3 linked regions of the Danio rerio genome follow. The protein of the gene in region 3 interacts with the protein of the main gene of each other region in a pairwise test. Links are inferred from orthologs where the notes say so. Each region holds a gene or a part of one and is shown on either strand. Other genes may lie near its edges. The genes, in order: ube3a, yju2 and jade1.

Region 1 (6,348 bases), on a different chromosome or scaffold from region 3:
ACATCCCACGTATAGTCAGAGCCAAAAGGTTATTGATTTAAAAAAATGATAGTAAATGTATAAACATGTGTTTTGGATATGGATTTAAAGATTTGCTTTCTGTAACTAAAAATGATGGGTTTTTATTTTCTAGAAATTTTAATTGATCCCATCATAGTCATTCTTCTCATTTATGTGCAATTTTAAAGATTCATCAAGCTAACAGGGCCCTACAATCAGCAGGCCAGTTGTTGCTGGAGGTCCCCAGATCCAGGTTGCAGTGGCATGTCCAAAACTGTGCAATACCCTCCCTATAAAACTTTGTATTATCATGAATGTTGCACTGTCAGTAGTGCAACATGCTGTGTTATTGACATTCTTGTTTTAATGCATAATTTTGTTTTAATGCTGTAAAGCACTTTGAGCAGCCCCCAGCTTGTATTATGGCCCATTTCCACTGAGTGGTACAGTATGGGTCACCGTTATCAGGCTTGCGTTTCCACTGCTAAAAGGGTATCAGTGGTACTCTTTTGGTGTGCATGGTGTACGACAGAAAGTTTCAGTCGATGTTATTCTCGCTCAAGAAAATGTCTACAGTAAAGCTGTACAGGCTGTTCACATATCATATGAGAAGCATTTCTCACAAAACAGACACTTTATACACATAAATACTTAAGTATAAGTGTTCATTACTAACCTTTCAATGAACATGATTTGATTATGACTGCAGATCAATGACAGTGTGAATTAACCTACTGTAACGTCTGCAATTATATAAGGTAAATAAATAAATAAATAAATAAATAAATGCAATATATATGAATACATGCAGCCCCTTACAGTCTCCGATAAGTTACCAGTTACAGAAAAACTACACGCAGCATATGTTTAGTCTTTATTTGGGTTAAAAAAAACAACTTGCAACATATAGCTCACAGTCAGTGCAAATCTCTCATCTGTATCTTTAATTTCACCAGCACATGTAACCTCTTGATAGAAAGTAATTCCGTCATTCTGGGTTCATAATAGTCTAGAAGTGAATATAATACTTAAACACAGCAGTTTGTTCATGTTTTAGGTTGCTGAAACAATCATTTACTCCTTTGTTTTTCCGGCTTCTCCCTTTGTTTTTTTGCGCAACAGCTCTGTAGCTGTTCAACAAGATGACGACAAGGTTTGTTTAAGCTCGGGTCAACCATAGCTTGTTGTTATATGTATATATTGTTACAGTGTAACATCTCAACTGTGTATTTAAAACATGGAGGTTATGGAGGGGAAAAGAAACACTGATCGCTAGTTTACTACTAAAGCATAGTACAGTATACATCTAAATTTGTTTCCACTGTTTGTCAGAAGTAGCAAAATAGCTGACTGTACCATACACCCCTGTTTTGTCCCTTTAATAAGGATAACTAGCACAACAATACTGTACCAAAAAGATGGAGCAAGACACAATGCTAAATGAAATGACAGTGCAGATATTTGGTAATAATTGAGTTTACCTGTCTGAGTCGGGACCATTTTTGGCAATAATCATCTTGAGTTTGCCTAAACCTCCAACTGGAGCTCTATCTGTGCCAGTGGTGAACTGGAGAAACAGTCTCTTCTTCTCCTGCTCAAATGAGTGCACCGTCTCCCAGAAATCCCTGAAGAGAAGCAAAAATATAGTTTTTCCCTTTCAACATAGGATGTAGATTTTACAATGAGTGTTTGACTGATAACATTCTCGCAATTGCCAATGCCTATATGCATTGTGGATGAGGCCTGATGAACAACAACAAACACACAAAGTCACAATTTAAAATAAAGAAACATCCACATACCTAATAATGCGCGAGTCTTTGTTGTATCCTCCATCATATTCGGTGCTTTCTTCAAGTGCTTGGAAGTCAAGGTTCTATAAAAGCACAACACAAAAATCATGCGCTTGTATGTATAGCTTTACCACACCGATGAAAAATGAGTAATGAATGTATATCTAACTCACCCTGCTGCCACATATAAGCAGCTCAATCTCCTCCGGTCGAAACAGATATTTCAGTGGAGACTCATTAGTGACCATGTGGAATCCTCTTCTAAAGGCCTTAAACTGTTTCTCCACACTTTTGTTCAGCATGTACTCTGCATAGAGCGCCACAAAATCCTGCAGACAAGACACTTCATGTTATATGCATACTTGCATGTTGTGTTTTTAAATGTTGAATGAATGAATGAATAAATGAATGAATGATCATTTATTAAAAATGTTCCCTGACCTTTCTGTTCTCATTGGTAACAGGGATTTTATCACCGCTTTCCTTTAAATCGTACATTAATGGGTTTCCAAACAGGTCTGTTTGCGAGATCTGGAAGGTAATCATCATGTCTTCTTCAACATTGCCTTCATACTCCATGAGATCTTTCAGACTCTGAAAAAGAACCTGTAAAAACAGACGAACAGCACCATTATAATCATTTTCTCCAGAGATGCACTGATAGAGATTTCTCTAATCCTGCCCATCAAATAACTGCTATGTGACAAAGGGCAAGCATTAACCTGCCCCAAATTATTTTGATGAGCAGTCACCGTGTGCTAAAGTCTTCACGACGGACTCCGCCAGCAAAGTGCTGATGTGTCTGCCTAAATCTCCCAGCAGACATAATCTCTGATCTAAAACTGCCTGCATTCTGAACAAGTGTAGACAGATAGACGATACACAGCATGACTGAGAACTGGACATGCATAACTACATGTAATAAAGCTGAAATGCTGCTCATAATGCATTATCTCTTTATCAATTTAAAGTATGGACTAGAAATATTGAGGAAAAAACCTGCCTGTAGTTTGAGGGTCCAAAATCATGCATCTATAACTATGTTAACATAACTTAAGAAATATTTGGAAAAACATTACACACTGTCTTGCTGGATTTTGATCTACAGTGTACTACAGCTGCTTTTAGTTTAATTTACCTGAATGTGGAAAATATTAAAACAATAAAAGCTACAAGTTTATAGTATAAATCTGTAAATAAATACACAACACTTTTCAAAAGTATGAGAAACATTTTAAGGGACTATACTTCAGCAAAACTAATAGAAATTAAAAGATAACATGTCCAAACACTGCAAAAAAAAGTCTAACTCTTCCCATAAAAACACTGAGCAGCACAGCTGTTTTTAAATGGTAAAAAATAACAAATATATATTAAACAATAAATCAGTATATTATAATGATTTCTAAAAAATTATGACATTTAAGTACAAAGAACTGATGAATCGTAATTTTTCAAATCAAATTAAAGCAGCCTTGGTGAGCATAAGAGACTTCTTTCAAATTCATCTCAACATCTTGGTGAACCATTTGTGTTTCCATTTTTAAAAACAAACATTAAGCAAGCTAAATATTTTTAAAAACGTATGCAGGCAAAGATTACCGGATGAGAGTCTGCAAGGTCTCGAAACGTTCCTTTCTTTCCCATTAGTTTTCTGTAAATCACCATAGGGAAATGCACATCCAGAATGCAGTTATTGTAGATAGCTAGGCCCAGGACGATGCCTATCAAAGTGAACTGGCCTTCATTCTCAAATGATGAAGGGTTGAACCAGAAAAGTTTTGTGCTTTCATCATAGGTAAACATGCCTGTGGGTAAAAAGTGTAGAACAAGTGAGCAAAACAGACACCATCCACCTTATCCTCACTGATTCATTATTCACATTTACAGAATAATGCTGAAGTTCTGAATGAAATGATAAGCTTACTGGCACATATTATATTACACATTCAATTACAATAAGTATAAATGATCGTCAATGAACTTTGTGTCAGATGACATATTGGTTAGTTATGTTTAGTTCCCAAGGCATGACAGTTTTGTTTGCTATGTAGATAGAAACTATTTAAAAGGTGGGATCGCAATGCCAGCTTAGCATTGTGATGTCTATCGGCCATCAGCGATGGACGATGGCATCGTCTATGTACCCAACCCTAATGTCAGCAACCAAGACTAATTTCATGGCAAGAGCATTTCAATAATAAATATACACTTAAAAATCAACAATTGAATACGTAAGGATTTTTAGCGATAATACATAATAAATTCTAACACTCTTCTTGGAGTCTTCTGGAATCATTAAAAGCAGGACAATCCAGTAAAATGTGTTTGACTGTGAGAGGAATTGTGCACTACAAACTCCTTAAAATCTAAAAGAACATAATAAATGTTTATGTCACCTGGTATTAACATGCATTTAACGCCCCGTTTACACTAATGCGTTTTTGTTTTAAAACGCATAAGTTTTGCTACGGTTACGCCATCCGTCCACACTACGCCGAAGTTCTCGAGCGCCGAAAACGGAGCGTTTTGAAAACACTGGAGAGGCCGTTTTCATTCTGAAACGCTGCTGCTCTATCCCAGTGTGGATGAGGAAAAACAGAGACATTTGAAAACGGAGGCGGGGCTGCTGAGATTCGCTACCTGATTGGGGCTTTTGTGTCATTGCGTATACTTCCCTTATTCGTCAAGTCAATCACATGACTATAACGCTACCGGAAGACAGTACTGTAAACAACAACATGGGCACAGAAATGGGAGCGTTGTTTGCACTATTTTCAGTTTTAGGCATCATTGTGCAGTTATTCATTTGGTATGTTTAGTAACAACTCGACCTCGTCATCTGTCCACAAAAATACCTCTCTTGCTTTCTTTGCCATCGCGTTTAATGTTCAACCGGCGTTTGTTAACCAAATAACCAAATGCCAAGTGAGACGCATGCTTTCTGTTTACACCAGAATGCGCATGCCCTGAGTGTGCGAATGGTCACGTGATATACGATTTTGGTGGCGTAGTGTGGACGGAGATATGTTCGGAGACACAAGGTGATACGCTAGTGTGGACACGGATCGTTTTCGATCTAAAACGCACTAGTGTAAACGGGGCGTAGTTATGCAATCAAAAGTGAGCAGATGTTTTTAGTCAGTTTTAATTATTTGATAAGTGAATCTAAAATGTACATTAGGTTGCATGAAAGAACCCCAAAAGCTCTACTGAAAAACCCAAATAGGAAAAACAAATGATTATTACCTATATCTGGGTTGAAGATCTCCTCTACAACCAGTTGAAAGAATTCTTTGGATACTCCTCCCTCATCTACACCTTGCTCACCCTCAAACTCCACATACAGTTGTTTCTTCAGGTCTGCTGGGTTTTCCATGGCAATCATCTCCAACTACAACCAATTACATGTTTATTTTATATAAATTATTCACTTCTTTGAAACCGCATTCATCATCTGAGCTTTTTGGCACTTACCCTGACAAGAGCATCGTCTATGATGTGGTCTCTGCGCACTTTGAGACGCAGATAAGGGTTTAGTTGCTGTCCTTGCACCAAACTATAGAGGGCAGTAATCCTGCGCTCGCTATACATGCGGATCCGGTTGTCATAGTACAGGCCCAGATTCTTAGTCACAGCGTTAAGTATGAAAGGGCAGGTCATAAAGGAGAACTTGCTCTCTGTCTCCACCTTGAAGAAGGTATAGTCTTTGTCCATTTCCAGCACCTCATTGAGTGGTTCATTGATGAACTCCTCGAATGGGATGAGGGGTTTTCGACAGTCCGAGGCACGGATGCCCATTTCTGTCTCTAGCGGATCCACTCGAGGGCCTTTTTTATTGCGTCTCTCCTCTCCCAGCAGCTCCTGCAGCGTCAGCTCGCTGGACTCAGGGATCGGTTCATCGTCGTCCTCCTCATTGTGATCCGTGTCTAGGTCGCCGCCCAGCACGTTTGCATAGTAGACGATTTTCAAGCACTTGGTGGCTGCCACCACACCATCATCCTCATTGACTAGGTTATCACTGCTGAACTCGTTGCTGATGACCGTGTAGGTAATAAGCTGCTGGAAAGTCTCGACCAAACGTCGGATCTGGTCCACACCGTACTGCGACCACAACCGTGCAAGCTTGGCCAGAGCCGGAAGAGGTAGCTTGCTCATGGCCTTGCAGAACTGTGGCAAGGCGATTTCTAAGTATTCGGGACTGTGGAGGTTACTGTTCTCCATCACAATGATGAAGACGTTCAGGTAATTAGGGTCAGCGGCGTACACATTGTGATAGGTGAGGTCACACTCTACGTTGGGCGACAAGTAGACTAACGCGTTGAGGAAAGCTGCCTCAATCTTCTCATTCGATAATAATCTGTCGTACACTCTTCTTACAGCATCAATGTCTACAGAAACTTCTACAGGACTCAACTTTTGGACGTTGTTCTCCCCATGAGATGACCCGTCTCCACTTGATGCTGAAGCTTCTGGTTCCACCTCCATTGCTGTGGATGAACCAGAAGCCGTTTCTTTCTCATCTTCATCTTTGTCTTCATCCTTGGCCTGAAGG
Region 2 (6,348 bases), on a different chromosome or scaffold from region 3:
TATATTTTTTTTTTTTTTGTATTATTAAATGTATTAAATTATAATATTTTTTTGATAGGGCAAAAAAAAAACTTTTCCATCTGGGCCATTCCTTTTTCCTTTAACCCTTTATGGGTCTAAAAATTAGTTCATACTGGTCTTAAAAATGTCTTAAGTCCTAAATGTAACTCTGTGAAACCTGCAGAAGCCCTCATTATTAAGCTGCTAATCAGTAGTTTATTGAGCTAAAAGTCTTAATGGTTTGTTAATTGTATATTAAAATAAAGTGTGATCGTTTGCTTGTTTATAACTATAATCTAACTAATGAGAAGCTAATTCTTTACAGACTGATTCACTGTATTAGACCTGAGAACAGTTTAGTCCAAACATGCATACAACAGAAGAGCTCTGATTATCAGAGACATTTAACTGCAACTCTCAGTGACACTAAAATGTTTTTAAATTTATACAAATAGTTTTGAGGGCAATTGTTCTAAAGCATAGACACAGGTTAATGTTTTTTTTTTCCTTTTTTTTTTCGTACGGTTATGGAAAACCTGGAACAGTCATGGAATTTTTAAGTGGCATAATCAATGCCTGGAAAAGTTTTGGAAAAACAAATAAACCCATAAAGTTTTGCAAACATCATGGAAATTTTATACCTGAATATATTTTAAATGATAATATTGGGTCATTTTCAAACACAATAGCAGAGTCCGTCTCTCCTTTACTCTCATTCATGCGCAGAAACAAACTAACAACTACAGCGGTACGATTCTTCTGTATGTTCTGTATGCAACTAGAGTTTGCTTGTTTTGACACATTTAAAATATGTGGCTGAGAAATAACTAATTTAACAGGGCAAGTACAAATCTTCAGCGTTTAGCCCTGTATAAGCCTGAAATTTCATTCATAATGGTCTTAAAGTCTTAAATTTGACTTTGTGGAACCTGCAGAAGCCTTTATTAATGTAAGTGTATTATGTTTTGTATGTAACCTATTGAAATGAATTTTAGTAGTAAAAGTGTGTATGAACTCTGTGATTGGTTCATGGAGGTTGCATCTATTGGTGAAGCATTGAATATATTTTTTAAACATTTCGCAGTGGTGCCTAAATGAATCAGCCAATTTAAATGAATCATTTGGATAAATGATTCAGTGAATCACTAAGACGCGAGAATGGATGCCATCTTGTAATATTACATTTATCTGTCCATGACAGACATAATCCAGCCAAATGCCAGAAGAAAAAAAAACAAACTATAGTTCAATTCTATCCACAATTATCTCACAAATCTGCTTGATATTGGAAACAATTGACATTGCAAAGTTTTATTAATATTAATATACTTTGCGATAGGCAACGCGGTGGTGCGGTAGGTAGTGCTGTCGCCTCACAGCAAGAAGGTCGCTGGTTCGAGCCTTGGCTGGGTCAGTTTTCATATTCTCCCCGCGTTCGTGTGGGTTTCCTCCGGGTGCTCCGGTTTCCCCCACAGTCCAAATACATGCGGTACAGTTGAATTGGGTAGGCTAATTTGTCCGTAATGTATGAGTGTGTATGGATGTTTCCCAGAGCTGGAAGGGCATCCGCTGCGTAAAACACATGCTGGATAATTTGCCGGTTCATTCCGCTGTGGCCACCCCAGCTTAATAAAGGGACTAAGCCGAAAAGAAAATTAATGAATGAGTATATTGAGATATGAATATTATTTCACCAGATGACTTGAATGGCTCAGTTTGGGGAAAGAATTTATATTGATTTGGGGGATTTCGAAGAACAGTTAATTTGCATAAATGCAACACTAGTCAAACTGTATTCAGGTGCAGAAGCTGAATAATCAAATCTAAATAAATAACACCACATGGTCTTCGTTGTATAAAAAATATCTTTGGTAAAACGACATGTGTTATAAATGTAAATCTTATAGTCATAGGCCTTAAAACAAAGCAAACGAGCAAATAAAGATCTCTCACTCTAATAAGTTAAAATTTTACAGTGGTTCCTGGTCAGCTATAATCCCACTCAAATTGCCTAAGTGATGAATAAACTCAACCTGAACTTAAACTGAAGCGTCATTGCAGATAAACATTAGGGCTGTGCAATTAATCTAAAATCCGATTTCGATTTTGCCTTTTAACGATTATGAAAAATCATTAATCGAGATAAACGATTATTTCATCATATACCGCCCCTTTCCAGTTGTACACGTGTTGATCTTAAAAGCGCGAAAGACCGCATGATTCTGTGTGCCGCGCACACACAGAATTGAAGCATGCAGTCAGCATTCGGTCTCACTCGCACACTGAGACGAGCAGAGCGCAGTCAGCGCACACATCTAAAGTCATCTTAACGTGAGCGCTTTAATGGTCAGATAGGTGTCAAAACGCGGTGTTTAGTGATTATTCATATCAAGCATCATTTGTGTAATAAACAAACGAGTTGAGAATCAAAAGAGACGCGATAGAGAAACTATTAAAGAGACAGCGCGCTATAATCCTTCTGCCGCCTGTTTTTATGATTATTAATCAAACAACAAATGGAGAACATGCCTCTGCTGTTGACTGAAGGACTTTTGTAGCTAAAGTGTTTCTTAAGGTGAAGATGCTTAAATCACAGTTTGTTTTATATTTTTACTCTATTGTATTTATTTCTCTTTCCTTTGCAGGGTGGAAAATAACTGTTTGTATACAGTTGAAGTCTGAATTATTAGCCCTCCTGAATATTAGCAACCCTTTTCCCCCAATTTCTGTTTAATGGAAAGAAGATTTCTGAACATAATAGCTTTAATAACTCTTTTCTAATAACTTATCTATTTTATCTTTGTCACAATGAGAGCATATAATATTTGACTAGATATTTTTTCAAAATACAAGCATTCAGATTCAGAGTGCGATTTAAAGGCTTAATTAGTGTTATTAGACAGACAATCAAAAAATATATTGCTTAAGGGGGCTAACATTATAGACTTGCTTGAAAAAACCTGCTTTTATTCTAGCCAAAAGAAAAATAAAAAAGCCTTTCTCCAGAAGAAAAAAATATAAGAGGAAATACTGTTAAAATTCCTTGCTCTATTAAACATCATTTGGGAAATATTTATTTTTTACAAAATTATCAGAAGCGCTAATAATTTTGACTTTAACGGTAATCGTTTTGAATAATCGTGATTTCTGTTATGACCAAAATAATCGTGATTAGGATTTTTCACAAAATCGATCAGCCCTAATAACATTGCTATATTGTTGCGGAATTACATATATTGTGCAGCCTTAAGCTAAAGATGTTCTCTCTGAATGCTGTCAAAGGTCCTGGAGAACCGCACACGGGACTCAAAGCTGGAGATGGAGGTACTGGAGAACCTGCAGGAGCTGAAGGAGCTGAACCAGAGGCAGGCGCAAGTGGACTTTGAGGGTATGCTGGGTCAATATAAAGAGCTGGAGCAGAGACAGAAGCAGAGAGAGCAGGAGGAAGACGAGCAAGAGACCAAGTATGCAACAAGAGACCTTTTCTAATTTTGCTTTATGTATGCTGAATTGTTAAATATTTGTGGTTTAAACGTTTTGGTAAAGCCTTGAAGATCAGTCTTCATCAGAGGATTCCTCGTATGTCAGCTTATAAACAGATCAGCTGATTTTCGCTGCTTTAAAATGCTCCAGTGTCTCTGTATCAGTGGTTACACTCAGTAAACAGCGGTGAGTTCGGTGAATTGATGACCTTCACAGCCAATCACAGTGTTTTCTGTTGAGCACGTGAACACAATGGCAAATCAGCTGAGTTTAAGAACGTTCTCAACAGCGCTCAAATGTTAGCAGGAAATTTATGTTTTTAGAATTTCAGTACCGATTGTATTCCAGTAGCATGACAACACTATCTTGCAAAGTCTGAAAATTATATGTGGTCCATTTATTTTTAAACAAGAATGTACATTCATTATTGTAGTAATTTTACAGTGCACTAAAAAAAATATTAAAAAATAATTCCTTGGATTTACTAAATTTTTTACGTCAAGTGTTTGTAAACAATTTATTTGTGGTGAATTTAAACAAACAAATTAAGTTGAACATTTTTAAATGTAATTTGTTTGTTTAAATTCAACACAAATAAATAGTTTGCAACAGTTCTGCATGCAACACTTTTTTCAGTGTGTAAATATTCTAAAAAAAAATCACGCAGAGAAGTTATATTAGTAATTCATCATTCAAGTATTTTGCCGGTTTTTACATGTTAAAAACAATAATGATAATAATAGTACTGATATGTAATCACAGCATTTTGTCCAAACTGTGTACAATCTATAATATCATTTAAATGCAAAATGTAGATATTCCTATGCATTTTAACTAGTGTTGGGCCGTTATCGGCGTTAACTTTATGCGTTAACGCGAGACTCTTATCGCGCGATTAAAAAAATATCGCCGTTAATCTATTGTCAAAGTTGGGAGCTGGATCTATTCTACGCATGTATACCTGACCGGTGAGCCGTCTGACAAAATAGTGCCCTTCTGAATCAAATCAGCAGGATGCTTGCCTTTAACTGCAGTTCGAACGTTTAACTTTAACTCATGAACATTTCATTCATTGTCCCGTGACAAACTGGGGTATTAGACATAAATAGGAAGTAAGGACTGGTGAGAGTGTTATGAAATGTAATAACGCTAATCATAATAAATTTATGATTTATTATTTGGGTAGCACACATATTCTTAATGCCTTCGGCAGAATTCAAATGATCCGATTTAATTAATTTCGAGATTAATCTAGATTTTAAAAACTTGTCTATGCTTACCCATAATTTTAACCCAAAACATTGATGTTTAAACGTTGTGGTTGTGACGCAACGCAAATGTTTCAAGAAGACCCAAAAATGTGACGAACCCAGTTATTCAGGTTATGGTTATTTACGCTAATAATTCAATTGATGTTTATTTCTATTGCATTTTTACAATGTAGATTGTGTCAAAGTAGCTTAGCATAGAAGTTCTAGTAAATTGAAACTGTGTCAGTCCAGATTTTAGAGGAAGTTTAGTTCAGTTCAGCGTGGTTTAAATTTCACTGCTGGAAGTACAATCCCTTAACAGCAAATCATTCATTTTCTTGTCGGTTTAGTCCCTTTTTTAATCGGGGATCGCCACAGCGAAATGAACCGCCAACTTATCCAGCAAGTTTTTACGCAGCGGATGCCCTTCCAGCTGCAACCCATCTCTGGGAAACATCCACACACACATTCTCACACATACACTACGGACAATTTAGCCTCCCCAATTCACCTGTACCTCATGTGTTTGGACTGTGGGGGAAACCGGAGCACCAGGAGGAAACCCACGCGAACACAGAGAGAACATGCAAACTCCACACAGAAACGCCAACTAAGCCGAGGCTCAAACCAGCGACTTTCTTGCTGTGAGGCGACAGCACTACCTACTGCGCCACTGCTTCACCCTTAACAACAAATCCATTGATAATAATATACAAAAGACACGGGAATGGTGTAATGATGTTAAAACAAACAAAAAGCTCACCTTTCAAAGATCACCTACAACTTCGCTTAGTAATAGTCACAGCACAATAATCAAATCCCAGCCCGGTTCGTCATGTTTTCGGGTCCCCATAAAACTTTTTCCATTGTGTTCCATGATATTTACATGTGTTGTAAAAATTTTCTTAATTTTTTTTGCGTTGTGAGAATTTTCCCACACATTTTCTGTCAAACTGATGAAGATTTTTTCTTATTTTGCTAGTGTTTTTTGTAATTGCTCTCTCAGCCACAGTATTTTTTCCCTGAAGCAAATTGTGAAACAACAAGATGATGTATTGTACAAGTGTACTGTGATTTAATCTTCTCTTTTGTCTTTCTGTTCTCAGAGAGATGTTGGAGAGAGCTCTGGTCAAAAGACTGAGGGACTCAGACTCTGAAGAAGAGGCAGAAAACGCAAAGGAGCGAAGCAAGAAGCATATAGCTGATAAACCCACAGACATCCTCACCACAGACACCAGCACTTCATCACAGGTGGAGAGAGAGAGAAAAAGAGCGAGATTTAAATCTACTTTTTTATTTACATTTTCAGCTCATCTTTGCACAATAAAGGGCATCTGTTATGCAAAAATCACTTTTATAAGGGGTTTAAAGATAGTTATGTGGCAACAGTGTGTGAATATAACCAGTCTCTAATGGTATACCTTTTTTTCATAATCGCACAAATAAAAACACTCTGCAGTGTCATCACGTGGGGGAAAGCCCCGCCGTCCCCTGTTTCTCATTATTTTTATTATTTTTCCTCAGGGCTTGTCGTCTGCAGTGGCGAAGAAACAGAGCTGGGATAGGAGTGTGGGAGGTCTGAGTGTGAAGGGAGCTCTGGGGTCTCTGGTGGTGA
Region 3 (5,945 bases):
GTGAGTTGCTGTTAATTTCATGTTTAGATGTGCCAGAGTTTACTGTGTGAAACAACAAATGGCTTGTATGAAACATGAAAACGATGATCTCTAAACATTAACTGGTCACACACACACAAAGCATGGATTTATTCGAAATTGCCACTATACCCTCATTCACTTTTCTCTACATCAGTCCACTAATAAACTCTACATGAGTAAATTTGAGCATGAAGCACCAAAAGAGAGGTATATTTGTTTGTGCTTTGCTGGTTAATAAACATGAAATAAAATTGCTGTCAGTGTTTATGTTGTCTAATCCCTGCTGGAAAAAAACAGCACATGCTGGTAAGGTATGTTTTGATGCTAGTGCTGCTCAGGACCATCACTCAGACCAGAAAAACCAGCATTAAAACTGGCAGCAAGACCAACATACTAGCATCAATGCTGGTTCTATGCAAATATGCAGTTTTTTTTCCATCAGGGTTAGTAATGAAACAAAGTATTCTATCATGTACACGTTAATTTTACAATAAATAATCAGTTATTTACAAACTTACACTGATAAGATACTGCGGTTGACGCCATCTTGTCGCACACGCGGGAAATCATTCTCCTCAGTAACGAACCCTCAGAGTACATCTGTTCACTCGACTAGTTATTGCGGTGCATTGTGGGATTGATTGGGGTCACTTCAGAACGTCTACTATATGGTTTCGGACACGAATATAGCTGTTTAGTTTCCTTAAATAATGCAGTATTTAAGGCAGATGTCTTCAACCCTGTTCCTGGAGAAACACCTTCCTGCAGAGTTTAGCTCACAACTGAACAAGTGTATTAATTTAACAGGACCTGAAGCAGCACTTAAAGATTAGACAGGTTTGCAACTGAAACCTGTAGGAAGAAAGAACTCAAGGAATGGGGTTGAGGACCCCTGATTTAAGGGTATAGTAGGTAATTTCGGATATTTTTTATATACATATACCTGGCCAGCAGGTGGCGATGTCACTTCTTCTTAGACACAAAAGTGCAGTCCTAAAATCTGCCATTGTTGTTTTTGGATGTCAACTACATTTATATGCCAATAGACTGAATGTATGTACATTTGAATGTTTTGTAGTTTCCACAAAGATGATGATGGAGTTGTGTTTTAAAATGTGCACTTTGAACAGTTTTTTTTAAGAAAGATTCTCACTACTTTGTTGAATTAGCAAATCAGTGAATCTTTCACTGCAATCTCTGACTAAAGAATCATTGATATGTTGTCAGATCTGAAATGAATGGGAACCATTATCTGGTCTTTAAAGATGCATTAACAGTTTTATCCTAATAAATATTCTGAAATGTTTTTTTTATATTCATTATTGGTCATAGTAAGCAGATCCAAATGCAATGTTAATACTAAAGATTTAGTTTAAAATTGCGTTGTAACAAAAGGCTTCTATATTTAAATGTTGGGGACAATATCAGATTTCTTGTCCTGGTCTGAAAGCAGAGAAAAGTTGAAAAGTTTCCAGTGAGCCACACTTCATCTCCTCAAGTAACCTCAAGAAAATTTATTCACAATCTGCAACAAAACTAAAGTATTGCATAAGAATAAAAGAAAAGAAAGAAGAAAATTACAGCAGCGCTTGATTATATAAACATGTAGAAATTTTTTTTTGTCTGTGAACACAGTTATACCAAGCTCTCTGGCTAATGTTCTAGTGCAACATCTCAACAAAAACAGGCACAAGATAAACTTTTTTTTCTGAAGGAGATCAACTCACATTTTGCATGAGGAGACATTTACAGCGATAAAGAAAAAGATGCAAGAACACATATTCTGCGTACTACTCCAAGGCAACCATGTCAAGAAGATCAGTCCTTTCAACACAACAGTGTTTTCATTAGAGCTATGATAGTGTCTTCTGTTATTGTTTAATATCAAGTGCAAAGTAATGGATACTGGAAGTAAATGATTGTTAAAAGCCTTCCTGAACAGAGCTGCAAATGATATACATCGTATGCGTCATAATTTCATCATACCGAGTGTGAATCTGTCCAGATCTACAGTGTCCATCTATTGCTGAAGAATATGGTTAAATGAACAGTTTTTTATTATTTATTTGTATTTATATGGAAAGGAATTTCTTCAAGACCAAAGAGAGTACATATAAGGCATTAACCTGTTACACACTCAGTTTGGAGAGGGAAAAAAAAGACATAACACTATAAATTAAGTACAAATATAAGCAGATTTTACCTGAGAAGGAAAAGGTGCCACAGCAGAAGTAATGGCACATGTCACATACACACAACACATGATGGCCTTTTAAGTTAGCAGAATACTGAAAAATAAATTAAAAGTCTTTCCTAAATTTTGGAAACTGCTTCGACTGTTGTGGTCAAATATGTTTTTCTTTTTAAGTGCTCAGTTAAGTGCAGTTTTTGTGTGGGACTTAAGACAGCTGGGCTGCACTGGCTTCATTTCACGCTGGTAACACCCTCAGAAGTGCTCATAACTCATCTCGAAACTCCGCCAGTTCATTTTCACCTGATTTATAGTTTCATTCATCGATTATTAGGAAGATATTCGTCTTCGTCAGCCAATCGTTTGGTCTTTGAAACCTCTCCACATTTGTTTTAACATACACACAAAAAAATACTTTCAGCAGAACATTACAGACTAGAAAAATAAATATCGTTCCACCTGTTCACCTTTCGTTGAAGAGCAAATGAAGAGGGAAAATAATAATGATAATATATTTGGACATTTCAAGATGCGAGAACTCCACGTTGGATCACGTCTGAACCGTATCGTCTAGTCATAGGGCTCGGAAGTCTCTGGGTGTGACACCTCTTACCCTGCTCTGATTGGCCGAGATCAGACTCTTCCAGATGGCGTCGATTCTCACTTCCCGTCCGCAGTCGGGTCCTGATTTGAGGAGAGGAGGGGGCGGGGCTTGTGCTAAACGTTTTTAAGGAAGAGTTTTGGTCTGCGGTGTTGTCTGCCTCCTGCCTCTCGGTCTGTCTCCCTGCTGACGTTCTCTCACTGCGTTTGGGGATTCGGAAACTGCCCCAGTTTTTCAGATGCCGCCCGGATGTTCCATTTGGCACTAGTTTTCCCTGATGGCTTGCGTTTGTCTTCCTCGGCGATCCGCTGTACATGTTTGGAGCAGTGGCTACAGAATTAGCGTTAGTGTGAGACAGCAGCAATCTGTCATCCATTGTGTCGAGCTCTGTCTCACTGCTCAGCGTGTCCTCCATAGACTTTGCATGCCTCAGTTTGTCTTTAATAGACACCTGGTCCCATAGCTTGCTCTTTCTCCTCCTGTCCTCCAGAGGACGCTCACTTTCCTCCTCTTTTCTGTGAGACTCACCACTCCTCGTCCTGCCCTCAGAACGTCTAGATGAAGCAGACATCACTGTCTCGCTTCTCACAGAGTCTCCAGAACTGGGAACGCCGTCCATGAGCATCTTTGCAGGCTTGTCTGCTTCAATATGCTTTGAGGATCTGTAAGAGTTGCTTCCCTTCTCGCTGGAGCTCAGTGTGCTGTTCTGCCCACAGTGGCCCTTCAGAGGCTGAGGAGATGCTGGCACAGGTGGCGTCGTACGGAAATAAAACATAGCCTCCTCCAAACGTCTAGTAGAGGATATACCTGACCAGGAGAGAAAACAGAAGAGGTCAAATGGTTTGAATCACAGGTATTAAAACTCAATTCCTGGAGGGCCGCAGCTGTGCAGTGTTTTGTTCCAACTCTAAGCAAACACAAATGATCCAACTAATCAAGGTGTTCAAGACTACTAAAAACTATAAAAGGTCCTATGAAATTAAAATGAAGTTTTTTAGATGTCAGTATCAGTATTATTCTTTCTTAGAATATCTATAAGCTAGCGCACCCCAAAAAAGTGACAAAATTGGCGTTTAGAAGATACAAAACTGATATAAACATGTAAAGCTTGTAATTTGTCACTTCTCCCTAAATGGATCAATAGATTTATTCATGTCACCTCATACTTCAGTTTCTCATTACATCATAACCAGGGATGCTCTGATCAGGATTTTTGCAGCTGAAACAGAGTACAAATTCTTTGTCATGGTGATCGTCAGATTCCAAGTACAGATTCTGATGCCTCAAGCTTTATAATGCAAAATAGTTCATTTTCCCTTTAAGTATGATACTTTATTTATTTTCTTAGGTGAGGCGAGATCATCACTTTTGCTGCATGTAATCCCTTAAAACGACTATTAAAACCATTTAGTTCGGAAATGTCATGGTCAAAGGGAGTTTTACAGAAAATAATAGATAAAACATTTTAAAAATCGGTAAGAAATGATTAACAATGTAATTTGGAAACATTGCAAATGATGGAAGAAGAATTCAACATGTTTCAATGAAGAAAAAGTTTGGAGCGCATAATTGATGCATAAGAAGTTAACCTTACCAATGTAATACTTAGGACATGACTGTGTCTCTCTCAATCTGTTCACGTTCACTCAGTCTCGTTACCACTTTCTCTATGTGTAAACTCAACAACAAACTTTTGCAATCGGTTCATGAGATCGGGCAGATTGCCGAGTACCGATTGAGTCATGAAATGTGAATATCAGCTGACACAGATCTCTAGCCGATCAATTGGAAAATCCCTAATCATAACCTCTCATGTCTGACATGCCCCACCCCCTTAAAGACACTTTTCATTTGATGCACTAGAGCTCAACCACTTCTCACTGGCAGAGCTGAGGAAAAACAAACACTTTTGGCTGTTTGATTTTTTGTTTTTGTTCTTGTTCTTTAAGGGGAGGAGTTAAGCTCTCCCACCCTTTCTTCATGTTTCGGTTTAAGATTACATCAAAGATTGAATAAAAATGCATTTTTCAAAGCACTTTACGGGGTCTTTAAGTAGGTGTGAGTTGGAGGTCTACAGATTTTGAGTTTGACACCCCTGGCTTCAGTACTCTTTAAGTGAGCATCATACTAACCAGTGACGCGGCCCTGCTCCAGCAGCCTGACGTGGTGATGAAAGATCTGCTCCTGCACTCGGCACAAGGTCCGTTTAATCCTCTCCCGTCGGCTGACCATATACGTCAAATTACGCACCTGAACACACATATATGTGGATGAGACATACAATAATCTACAAAGAAGCTTTAAAAAGGCATTATTATATATAATAGTTAATATATCATTCTGTTTGGCATGTGAGAACCAATGAGATGTTCTTGCAAATCAAGCAAGGTAAATAAGTTGATTTTCTAACTCTTTTCTACATACAAACAAGAATCTAAATTAATCACTTGCTTCAAATAGATTCCTTTTGTTATGTATTTTAGAGGTTTCTAATGTGTCAAACATGCACAGACTTACATTCAATGAAAAAACAATGATTTGAGAATGAGAAGAATAAAGGATCTTTTGTGTTTGTAGTGGAAGGGTTTGGATCAACATGATGGCGAGTAAATGTGTGTGCTTCACACTAGTAGTTTAGATCAGTAAATTAAACATTTGTGTATCATACATTTGTACAGGTGTGTGTTTTAGGTTTTGGCCTAACAACAAATTTAATGGTCTAATGGCAAAACACTGATGTGATAATGACTGTGGCACGACAGAATGAAACAGGGAAAGAAATTTAAATGTTACTAATAACACTTACATCATTCACTGACTAACCAACGATACTGAGTAAAAAAAGACCCCAATGATGCACTATACGCTTTGTAGTGTAAACATTTATAAAAGTTATAAAATTAGAGTTTAGAGTTTGAAGTTTTACATATTGAAGTTTTACATATAGAATAGCAAGTGAATAATGAGTGAATTTGGGAATCTTGGGGAATCAGTCAAAATTCAGGACTCAGTTGCTTTAATAACATGAATGCTCATGTGGTCAGATGCATTCAAACAGCCACAAAAGACCACATACCATGTGCCTACTCACTCAAATATGATCATTATGAGATGTGCTGCACTAAAACAAAT

Evidence for each region.
Region 1: the proteins of jade1 (region 3) and ube3a interact in a two-hybrid assay, tested with the Homo sapiens proteins (3 studies listed by BioGRID and IntAct). The link is inferred for Danio rerio from reciprocal best matches to the Homo sapiens genes JADE1 and UBE3A.
Region 2: the proteins of jade1 (region 3) and yju2 interact in a two-hybrid assay, tested with the Homo sapiens proteins (2 studies listed by BioGRID and IntAct). The two-hybrid records come from large-scale screens. The link is inferred for Danio rerio from reciprocal best matches to the Homo sapiens genes JADE1 and YJU2.

The regions. Positions count from the first base shown.
Region 1 is NC_133181.1:41,330,901-41,337,248, reverse strand, and holds part of ube3a (ubiquitin-protein ligase E3A), read right to left. Parts: coding exon 5,271-6,348; intron 5,188-5,270; coding exon 5,043-5,187; intron 3,602-5,042; coding exon 3,396-3,601; intron 2,400-3,395; coding exon 2,235-2,399; intron 2,123-2,234; coding exon 1,967-2,122; intron 1,877-1,966; coding exon 1,803-1,876; intron 1,626-1,802; coding exon 1,482-1,625; intron 1-1,481. UniProt on the Homo sapiens protein: E3 ubiquitin-protein ligase which accepts ubiquitin from an E2 ubiquitin-conjugating enzyme in the form of a thioester and transfers it to its substrates.
Region 2 is NC_133177.1:55,443,514-55,449,861, forward strand, and holds part of yju2 (splicing factor YJU2), read left to right. Parts: intron 1-3,282; coding exon 3,283-3,464; intron 3,465-5,839; coding exon 5,840-5,984; intron 5,985-6,257; coding exon 6,258-6,348.
Region 3 is NC_133192.1:28,313,749-28,319,693, reverse strand, and holds the end of jade1 (protein Jade-1), read right to left. Parts: intron 5,064-5,945; coding exon 4,946-5,063; intron 3,621-4,945; coding exon 2,737-3,620; 3' UTR 1,521-2,736; downstream 1-1,520.